3 linked regions of the Canis lupus familiaris genome follow. The protein of the gene in region 1 interacts with the protein of each later gene in a biochemical or structural test. Links are inferred from orthologs where the notes say so. Each region holds a gene or a part of one and is shown in the gene's direction. Other genes may lie near its edges. The genes, in order: NPR3, NPPA and NPPB.

Region 1 (3,648 bases):
CAAAATATGTTATACCATAAGTGGATTGCTTATTTTCTGAATACTGCTATTAGGAATTAAAGGCTAAGCAGGATCCCTCGGTTTATAATTCTCTATAGGTACACAATAACAACAACAAAACCTAACTGTGAGCACTGACTCTGTCAGGCACTGTTGGAGATCTTTCACATCTAGTAATTCATTTAAACCTAAGAGCAACCTCATGAGACAAGTACTATTATTTTCCTCATTTTCCAGATAGGGAAAACAGGCTCAGAGTTGCGGAGAAACACATCTAGGAAGTGGCAAAGCTGAGTAGTGAGCCCAGGTTCTAGCCATTATTCTAAACGGCCTCTCAGCACTGGGCTTTGGCAAATCCAAAATATTTGCTTCTGTGATGAAAACTCATCATCCTTAAGGGCCGGATGAGGCCACCTAGTACTGGACATTGGGCTGTGTCTGCTGTGAATGCTTGTATTTGAATGAGGTGATGCAGGTCAGTGTGTCTCTCTTCCTATGGGATCTCTTTCTAGGGGAGAGCATAGAATGCCTCCTCCCCAAGACTCACAGTGGTCATCTGTGGGATGCTGAATTCATTCTGCTCCATGGCATTCCATTCTTGTCACTTTCTCCTGAAATAAGACTTGTTTTTAGTTTTATTTTTTGTACTTTATACAGAATTTGTAAGCTACTCGGTTTCAAGATTGTATTTGCTCATTTCGTGTTCAATGAATGTTCAGTGGGTTTAAATATAATATCAGAACTTTCAAATGGTACTTACGGAATGAAACAAGGCTCAAAGAAATTAAGTGACTTCCCCCAAAGTACTTGCAACTTAAGTTTCTTGAGGACAAGGGGTATCTTATTTGACCTAGAACTCTGCTGGGATAAACCGGTCGGGTCCAGGCCTATTTCCATTCCTGTTGTTAGAGCTTAGTAGGGTAGGGGTGGGTCCAGAGTTGGGAGGGAGGGGTCAGATGCTCAGGAACCACTATGAACACAAGCTGGAAAGAGAAACTGAGATGGAAGAGAGGACACAGATGCTGGGCAGGTTAAAATGGCAGTGCCTACTCTTTTTTGAATCCTTTTGAATCCTAGAGTAGGTGTTCAATGGTGTCTGAAAATGAATGAATGGACCTGCACTGTTCTTTCAGTCAGTGTCACATTCAGAGCATGGAGAGATCGTGGGGACTGTTGAAGATGGTGAAGACCTCAAGGGAGAGGTTGGGCTTCAGTTGGCTTGAGGTAGAGAACAGATGTGAGGAAGGAGGAGGGCACCTGTGTAGAGGCCAAAGGCAGATGCACCTGGAATACTTAGCCTCACCAACAGGTACAATTTCCTCGACTTCTGTAATATCTTGTCTGCTTTCCAAAGTCCCCAGCTGAGGTATGGTTTTCCTTCTAAGCCAGGGCCAGGAAAACCATGGCGTGATTCTTGTTAGCTACTCTTCTGCTCATCTCTGCCACTGCTTGTGGACCTCAAGTCTAACTTGTTAGCTGTTTTGATTTGCCTACATGACTCATGAATGTTGAGACGTTGGTGTTTGGGCTCACCCAACTGGGGTTTCCTTTCCAGGTTAACATGTTTGTTGAAGGATTCCACGATGCCATCCTCCTCTATGTTCTGGCTTTACATGAAGTACTCAGAGCTGGTTACAGCAAGAAGGATGGAGGGAAAATTATCCAGCAGACTTGGAACAGAACCTTTGAAGGTGAGGATTCAGTCTGTAAGGTGACAACACTGCAGGCGATCCAGCTGCTTCTTCCCTGGTTCTGCTTTTCTCTCTTGCACCTGTGGTACTTTGTCAGTTTCTTGTTTTTCTCAGCTTTGAAGTAAGGAGAGTAGGTCAAGATCAACCCACCTCACAGGCTTGTTGTGAAAATTAAATGAGAGAAAGCTTGTGAAAGCACTTTGGTAGAGTCCCACTGAAACAGGAAGTGCCTTGTCTCCTTCTGATTTTTAGATAACAACTCTGCTTCTTCAAATTAAATTTATCGCAAGCCTCATTCACAACAAATAATCAGTTTGTGAAGAGTTCTGTGATGTTTTAAAAGAAATTATACCAGGTAATATATTTATCTGTTCAATCCTGGGTGGTCTGAGATGGTAAGCAAGTCCAGTCAAGTCCTGTGCTTTTATTTTACTTTTAAAATGGTAAATATCAGCTGTGGGCTTTCTTAAGGACAAAGAAGTGTAAGAACCTTGGAAAAAAAAAAAAGGCCTATAATCTCATCACTCAAGCAACCTCTGTTGACACTTAAAAATTGTACGAGAATGAGACTGTTCTTGGCTGGAAAATTTAAACAGTACAAAAACGTACAAAATGAAAAGCGAAAGTTTTCCTTCCCACCCTAGTCTCCTTTCCCTAACGTAACCACTATTAACAATTTCCTATGATTCGGTCTAAAAATATTTTGTGCCTTCTGCCAGCACATATGCATTTGTATATCTTATAAAAAATTGTACAAAAGGAATATATAATGAATGCCACTCTTCGTCTCAGCTTTTTAAAATTGTATATCAAGTAAAAAAAAATTGCCATACGAGCACTCAAAGATTCAGCACATTTTTAAATGATAGTTCCATGGATTTTGGCCATATGGCTGCACAAAGATCCCTTTAATCAGTCTCCTATTGATGGATAACTTCAGTTTTTTACAGTTTTTGCTGTTATGCAAAATGCTATCACAGGCATCTTATACGTCTTGATGAATATTTGCGAGTACATCTGACAGGGAACATTTCTAGTCATGAGATATCTGGGTCCAAATGTATGTTGGTGTCTTTTTTTAGTGCCTTTGAAAGTGCATTAAATATTGTCAAATATCAAGGTCTACTAGTCTAAATTCTTGCTAACAGCATACAGAGTGCTTGTTTCCTCTCACTTCACTGACACACTCAAAGAAAATTGACATGAGAGTCAATGAGAATGATCCAGCTGCTGGAGCTTTGGAGCTATCAACTTCATATTCATTCAGTCATCAAATATTCTTAAGCACCTACTGTGTGCCAGGCATTGTTCAAAGTGCTGAGGATTCAGCAGTGCACTAAAGAACCTCCCTGAAATCAACTGAACTTTCAGGGTAGTTGGGGAGGAATTGATGACAAACAAATAAATACACTATTTCTGGGGCTATATCAGAAAGCAGGGTAGGGAGACAGAACGTGACAGGAGGGGGTGGTAGGAGGACTGTTACTTTAAGGAACAGGGGCCAGGGAAGGTCTCTAATAATGTTGCAGTTGTGTAGAGACCTGAGGGAAGTGAAAGAAATTATGTAGATATTTAGGAGAGAACATTCTAGACAGAGCAGCAAACACAAAGACCTTGCATTGCCTGTTGAGAGAGAGAGTGCTGAGTTCCCCTGGAAGAACGAAGAGGCCTGTGTGGCTCAAGCACAGCGTGTGAGGGGCAGTGTGTTAGTAGCCACCCTCAGAGAAGCAGCGGGTGGGTAGAGGGCAGATCCTGTGCACCTGGAAGCTGTGCTGAGGACTTTGGGTTCCACCCTAAGTGAGATACAGAGCCAACTAGAAGGTTTTGAGGGACATGGTCTTTCTGGAGTTTTTAACCTTATGGGGATCATGTGGATGGGTGTCATTTAAAACGCCTTGATACAGAGTATAGATTGCTGGACCAGGGTTCAGGACCTGCATCTTAGTCCCTGACACAG
Region 2 (3,655 bases), on another chromosome or scaffold:
TACAGCGTCTGGCACATACAGCTGCTCAATAAAGGTAACCGTCAGTACCATCTTGCAAACAGATGGCCCTTCATGGTGCGTTCACACCTTAGTTCACCTGACAACCTTGGTGGGGGGAGCAGGTTTTTACAAATGGGGAAAATGAGGCGGTGATGATGTGTGTAACCCGGTTTGTCTGGGGCTACGATGCAGGCCTCTCCACCCTTCACACTTAGCATTTGCCCCCCGGTACCTGGTGCATCGAGTAGGAAGCAATCAATCCATCAATGTGGAGTTCGGTGCTCAGTGAATGGAAGCCACTCGTTACACGTGGACAGGACAGTCTTGCTGCCTGTAAATTCTCTTTGGGGCCAGGAAAGCAGAGGCCTTGGTGGCTCATCACTCGTGTGGCCTCGCAGCAGGACGCAGGAGGCATTAAGGGAAACCGTGTGCCACTTCCCCACCCGCCGACTCGCCAAGGGAGGTTTCCCGGGAGGGTTGGGGGCGTCGGAAGCCTCACATTCAGAGCCTGGGGTTCTATGGGCAGCGAGGTGATGGGATGAAAATGTTGGCATCTCTACAAACCCACCTCCCTCCACACTGCAGAGGGGAAGGAGGAGGGGCTTGGCGGAGGGATGGCTGTGTTTCCAAAACTTTGCTTGGTGTTTATGTCTGGGAGCTGAATTCTTGGGACACTCATCACATTTGGTTCCAGGCTGACTATTTAATACTCTAAAAAATAACTCCCTCTTCACCTGACCGCTGAGAGCGAGTGCCAGGAGCGAGGGCGGCCCAGCTGGAGGGGAGGTCTGCCCCCACGGCCGATGAGTCAGGTGTGAGGCCAGCGTGAGCATCTGGACTAATTTGTCCCGAGCTGCAGGCTTCCTGCCACTTCCTCCCCTCCCGCCCTTATTTGGAGCCCCTGACAGCTGAGCAGAAAACCAACCGGGGGAGCTGGGCGCCGGCCAACCGTCACCCTCTGCCTCCCTGCGTGGGTCCCGTTGCTGAGGAGAAAGAAGCCCCAGGCATCGCTGTAAGATAACCAAGGACTCTTTTTTGCTCTTCTCACACCTTTGAAGTGGGAACCTCTTGAGGCAAATCAACAAGAATGTGGCTCTTGCCGCTGAGGGTCCGGGGCTGTTGGGCTGCTCAAGGTGGAGGGGTAGTGACAGGCTCTGCGGGCCTGATAGCTTTAAAAGGCCATCTTCTGCTGCTCCTCATTCAGCTGCTTTATCGCTGCAAGTGACAGAATGGGGAGGGTTCCGTCCCTCTTGTGCTCTTGGAGAGCCGGGGGGCTATAAAAAGAGGAGGCGCAGGGCAGCTGGGAGACAGAGGCAGACGGAGGCTGAGAGAGGGAGGCGAGAGGACAGGGGAGCAGCAAGCACCGGGCCACTCCTCGAGCGACGCCAGCATGGGCTCCCCCATCGCCGCAAGCTTCCTCCTCTTCCTGGCAGTTCAGCTCCTGGGGCAGACGGGCGCTAACCCCGTGTACGGCTCTGTGTCCAACGCAGACCTGCTGGATTTCAAGGTAGGGCCAGAACAGGGGCCACAGTGCGGGGCCAGGGGGCCTTGTGACGCTGTGCCGGTCAGTGAGACCTCTCCCTTTCCCTGTGTGTTCCTTTTGTAAAGAACTTGCTGGACCGCTTGGAGGACAAGATGCCTTTAGAAGATGAAGCCGAGTCTCCCCAAGCCCTGAGTGAGCAGAATGCGGAAGCTGGGGCAGCTCTCAGCCCCCTGCCTGAGGTGCCTCCCTGGACGGGGGAGGTCAGCCCAGCCCAGAGAGATGGGGGTGCCCTTGGGCGCAGCCCCTGGGACTCCTCCGATAGATCTGCCCTCCTGAAGAGCAAGCTGAGAGCCCTGCTTGCTGCCCCTCGGAGCCTGCGGAGGTCCAGCTGCTTCGGAGGCAGGATGGATAGGATTGGAGCCCAGAGCGGACTGGGCTGCAACAGCTTCCGGGTAAGAGATGCTGGGGATGGATACAGGATGGGGAGGAAGTTAGTTGTGGTTTCACCCTGTCAAAAAGTCCGGCCAGGGCATGCCTCCTGCAGTAGAGACCAGGGTGGAAGCTTACTTCCTTTGAAATGCTTGCCCCAACTTGGGGCAATGACCTCATCCTCAGCTACAGGCTGCCAAGGATACTCTAAGGGAAAAAAAAGGTACTGCCATGAACACTGGGAACTTAAAATGTTCATGGGGCCAAATCACCTTCATCCTGCTGATCGGTAGTTCATGTTTCTCCCCAGAATTGCCAGATCCCAAAGGATGAAATGATCATGACCAGGTTGGGGTGCTTGGGTGGCTCAGTAGGTTGAGCGCCCGACTCTTGATTTCCGCTTGGGTCATGCTCTCATGGGTTGTGGGATCGAGCTCCAGGTGGGGCTCCAGCCCCATGTCCATCTCCATGCTCGGCGGGGAGTCTGTTTGAGATTTCTCCCTCTGCCCCTCCCCTCACGCACACATGGATGTGCTGGTGCTCTTCTCTTTCTCTCAAATAAATAAATCTTAAAAAGAAAAAAAGCAAGCAAGCAAGCAAGCAAGCCATCGGGGTTGACTTCTAACTTTTACCGAGCAACTTGTGCACCCATTCGTGAAACTCCTGGCGTTGTCAGGCTGGGGTGGGGGGTGCTGGTGGGAAGTGAACACAGTCCTGTGAGATTGACCTTTCCAAAAGAGCCAGGTCACCAAGTCAAACTTGTGTCTGTTCTCTTTGTAGTACTGAAGATAATGGCCAGGGAGGAAAAGGAGGCCCTGGCCCGGGGGCAGACTCTGAGAGACCCTCGTCCCTTGGGGTCTCTCACTCAACTTTGTCCCAGCTCATTGCCATCAAGTTGAGCCGTGACGAGCACCGAGACCGTATTCAAGCTGCAGCCTCTTGGCGATGTTTCTCACGTTCTATGCTAAACGTAGATAACTTGGCTGAATTGTGGCTTTCCCACCCCTCCCACCCCACGCGTTAACAGTTTAGCATAGACACTCACCTGTTACTGAAAGGGGTTTGAAAACCAATAAACTTCAGCACCACGGACAGCAGCCAAGTCTGGGTTGGCGTGGTTGGCGTGCGGGTGGCGTGGTTGGCGTGGTCTTTCTTCTCCCAGTCTGAGGACCCGGTTACCTTTTGCCAGAGAGGAGAGCGCTCAGTTTCTTTCTTCTTCCTTTCAAACACAGTACGCTCTATTTCGGGGAGCAGTTTCAGGTTCGCTGCCAAATTAAGCAGAAAGTACAGAGGTCTCCCACAACCGCCTGCTGCACACACGCAGGGCCTCCCTCCCGCACGGCCAGAGCCGTGCCCTTGCTACACACCATGACTCTACACCAGCACATTCTTACCACCCGGAGCCCACACTTGACATTAGGGTCAAGCCTTGGTGTTGAGCATTCTGCGGGTTTGGACAACTTTTTTTCTCCTTTCATTCCCTCCCCAGCCCTCACCCCCAGCTTTTTCCTTGGTTGGAGGTGTGGGTGGGGCTCAAATTGCAGTTCACAATCTTGTTTCTTCACTCTGGCCTCATCACAGATCCCGAAAATGCCCCAGGAGATGGACGGAGAGGGCACTTATTTTTCAGATTTTGCTCACACTCGGGGCACTTATTTATTGAAGAGGAAACTTAACAAACATCTGGGCTTTTTTCATGGTGGCATCAAATGTCGCTTGTACTCCATGGACAATTTTTTGTAC
Region 3 (3,485 bases), on another chromosome or scaffold:
TCTTGGCCACGCTTTACATCCTTCTCCTTGCACACACAGCCACCAACTTACGCATCCCTCACGCCACAGCTTTCTGTACCTTCAGAGACGACAGTGGATTAATCTAATTCTGTCTTGCCGTCACCCTGGCAGTGATTAAGAGCATGAGGTCTGGAGTCAGACTGCCTGGGTTGCAACCCAAGCTTTACCACTTGTCAACTGAGAAAGCAGATCAATTCCTCTGAGAATCAGTTTCCCTCATTTGAAAAATGGAAACCGGTAACAGTATTTTTTCTCACATGTTTGGCAGATGCTATTTTTCTAAGGAAAGATTTGCTTCGAGGCCATAGCTTCTGCCTCTTGCTGCCTTTTCTCCGTCACCCATATCTCACTCTCTCATCCTGCTGCTTGTCAACACAAGGCATCTGGAAGGGGTGGTGACATCAGTCATGCATGCTTTAGGGGAGATTTAATCTGCTGTGTCTCTTCCCAGGGCCATTTTTCTTTGCAGCCTCATTTGTGATCACAGACAGGAGGCCGGGACCATCTGCTAACAGGAATTAGGTCATGGACGGTCAGATGAAGGAGGCACCGGGGAGGGGTGCTCCCCACACTTCTAGTGTCCTGCCAAATAGATAACCATCTTCCGGTCATCTTTGCCCTTTTTCCTGTCCTATGTTGGCTTGGTGGGGGTGGGGGGGTGAGAGGAGGCGTTGGCACCTGGAGGAGGTTTGATAGACGGCATTCCTGGGTGACTTCATCTCTGGGCTTTGCCTCTCAAAATTCCAGCCAAATCAAGCCCTACCGTGTAAGGGATGGAAGCAGGGTCAGCATTCCAGAAGTTCCTTGTCATGCTCAGGCTTTTAATCAGATGACATTGGAAAATGAGCATCCTTGTGCAGGCGGCGGGTGCGGGGGGGGGGGGCGGTGTCTCAGGGTCTCGTCCCTACTCCATGCTTGTCTTCCTGGCTGGACCTGAGTGGGGAACTAGGCCTGAGGGGAGAAGAGCCAAGACCTTTTGGGTTGAGTTTGCTCAGATGGCTCAGCACCACGGACAGCGGCCGGGCCCCGGGGAGCGGGGAGCGCAGCGCAGAGGAGGCGAGGGGGGGACGCGGAGGGGGGCGCGCCGCGGGTGGGCTGCGGGCTGGGGCTCCTCAGCTCTGAGTCACCCCGGCGCCCCGCACTGGTGGAGCTGTCTCTCCGCACTCCAGGGATGCTTGGGGGCGGAGGAAAGGCAGGGAAGGAGGGAGCGGAGGAGGCCGAGGACCTGTTGGTGTCCCCCTCCTGCCCCCCCCCCGGGGGCCAGGCCCACTTCTATACAAGGCCTGCTCTCCAGCCTCCACCCCGGCGGGTATGGTCGCAGGCGCGGAGGGGCGCATTCCCCCGCCCTGAGCTCAGCCGGCCGGAATGCGGCCGATAAATCAGAGATAACCCCAGGCGCGGGATAAGGGATAAAAAGCCCCCGTTGCCGCGGGATCCAGGAGAGCACCCGCCGCCCCAAGCGGTGACACTCGACCCCGGTCGCAGCGCAGCAGCTCAGCAGCCGGACGTCTCTTTCCCCACTTCTCTCCAGCGACATGGAGCCCTGCGCAGCGCTGCCCCGGGCCCTCCTGCTCCTCCTGTTCTTGCACCTGTCGCCACTCGGAGGCCGCCCCCACCCGCTGGGCGGCCGCAGCCCCGCCTCGGAAGCCTCGGAAGCCTCAGAAGCCTCGGGGTTGTGGGCCGTGCAGGTGAGCGCTCAGCCTGCCTGAAGGCCGCGGCGGGTGGCAGCAGGTCACGGGGGCTTAGCCACTGTCCCAAGTCCTCAGTCTCCCTTGGGAATTAGTGATAAGGGAATCAGAAAGTGACGAGATTGGGTGCCAGGACTCCATACCCAAGGCGGCGGCTTCACTTGGGTGCAAGGGTGGTTCCGCCCCGGCGTGGGTTCCTGAGGCTCAGGCCGTCCATTGCAGGAGCTGCTGGGCCGTCTGAAGGACGCAGTTTCAGAGCTGCAGGCAGAGCAGTTGGCCCTGGAACCCCTGCACCGGAGCCACAGCCCCGCAGAAGCCCCGGAGGCCGGGGAGGAACGCCCCGTGGGGGTCCTTGCACCCCATGACAGTGTCCTCCAGGCCCTGAGAAGACTACGCAGCCCCAAGATGATGCACAAGTCAGGGTGCTTTGGCCGGAGGCTGGACCGGATCGGCTCCCTCAGTGGCCTGGGCTGCAATGGTAAGCCGCCTCCCTGCCACCTTGGCTCCCCCTCCCCAGCCCCCTGGGTTCGACCCTTGGAACCCCTTCTGGGTTTGTTGTCTCGGGGGATCACACTCTGAGGAAAGGACATCTGGACATCGCTCCTTCTTGCTGACAGTCCTAAGGGCCAAGGAGTACGTTTCTGGAAATACTACGTGTGGACATCGTTGTCCAGGGTCCCTACCCACCTCCTAGCCCCCTCCTGCCTCTCGCACCCAAAGGGGCAGAATCATCTTAGGATGGAATCCAGTCGTTGTCTGGAAGCATCTCCTTGGAGCAGAAAGAGTCCTAAACATCGTCCTCGTAGCTCTCTCTGTCTGTCTGTAGCCACGAAGGCAGAGGTCAGGGTCACCAGGGCAGTGATGATTCCCAGTTAACAGAGGAGGAGACTGAGGTCTAGAGAGATGGATTATTCCAAAGCCTCAAACATCCAGATCGGCTGAGGGTGGGGGTTGGTGGCAGGGATGGCTCCTGGGCTTGGGAAGCTCGGATCCTGCCTCAGTCTCCCACCTGACGCCATCATCCCCCTCTCTCTCCTCCCACAGTGCTGAGAAAGTATTAAGAGGAAGTCCCGGCTGCAGACATCTGCATCGGATTCTTCAGCAGCCCCCTGAGCCCCTTGGAAGCAGATCTTATTTATTCGTATTTATTTATTTATTTATTTCGATTGTTTTATATAAGATGATTCTGATCCCCGAGCACGGATTTTCCACGGTGAAATAAAGTCAACCTTAGAGCTTCTTTTGAAACCGATTTGTCCCTGTGCATTAAAAGTAACACATCATTTAAAAAAACAAAACCCCCAAACCACAAACCCTTTTGTTTTCTTGAAGCTTCCAAGGATGTCTTAATGGCGGGGTGGGGACACGGCGGCGTCAGGGCTGGTCAAGCAGGAGCGGGGGCGCCTTCCTTCTCCTGAAGAGTTTTTCATGCTCTGGAACCGTCTATAAATACCCCAAGCACTCAAGACACTTTGCAGGAACTGCTCTTCAAAGTGGTGGTTTCTCCCTGGGAGTGGAAATGGGCCCTGATACGTTCGTTGGTGCAAGCGAGGGTGTGTGTCGGCCTTTGCTTTACTAGTTTCCCCTCTGCCCGGAATTGTGCGATCGATCAATTGATCGGACGCGCTCTCCTCGGTCGGTGGTTTTGTTTCCAGGAAGGCTAAGCGGAAATCTCAGAGATTAGGGGCCGTGTGTGTGGGTGCGAGGCACGCTGGCTTGCTCGCACCTCTAAATGGGGGTGAGCTCTCCACTCTGCCCCAAACCTCAGCCTCCAGT

What was found.
Region 2: the proteins of NPR3 (region 1) and NPPA form a complex in vitro, tested with the Homo sapiens proteins (4 studies listed by BioGRID, with this or other methods). The link is inferred for Canis lupus familiaris from reciprocal best matches to the Homo sapiens genes NPR3 and NPPA.
Region 3: the proteins of NPR3 (region 1) and NPPB form a complex in vitro, tested with the Homo sapiens proteins (4 studies listed by BioGRID, with this or other methods). The link is inferred for Canis lupus familiaris from reciprocal best matches to the Homo sapiens genes NPR3 and NPPB.

What each region holds. Positions count from the first base shown.
Region 1 is NC_049225.1:75,721,662-75,725,309, reverse strand, and holds part of NPR3 (atrial natriuretic peptide receptor 3), read left to right. Parts: intron 1-1,555; coding exon 1,556-1,691; intron 1,692-3,648. UniProt on the Homo sapiens protein: Receptor for the natriuretic peptide hormones, binding with similar affinities atrial natriuretic peptide NPPA/ANP, brain natriuretic peptide NPPB/BNP, and C-type natriuretic peptide NPPC/CNP.
Region 2 is NC_049223.1:83,881,330-83,884,984, forward strand, and holds NPPA (natriuretic peptides A precursor), read left to right. Parts: upstream 1-1,215; 5' UTR 1,216-1,390; coding exon 1,391-1,507; intron 1,508-1,608; coding exon 1,609-1,935; intron 1,936-2,692; coding exon 2,693-2,698; 3' UTR 2,699-3,014; downstream 3,015-3,655.
Region 3 is NC_049223.1:83,870,968-83,874,452, forward strand, and holds NPPB (natriuretic peptides B), read left to right. Parts: upstream 1-1,312; 5' UTR 1,313-1,556; coding exon 1,557-1,709; intron 1,710-1,931; coding exon 1,932-2,187; intron 2,188-2,753; coding exon 2,754-2,770; 3' UTR 2,771-2,957; downstream 2,958-3,485.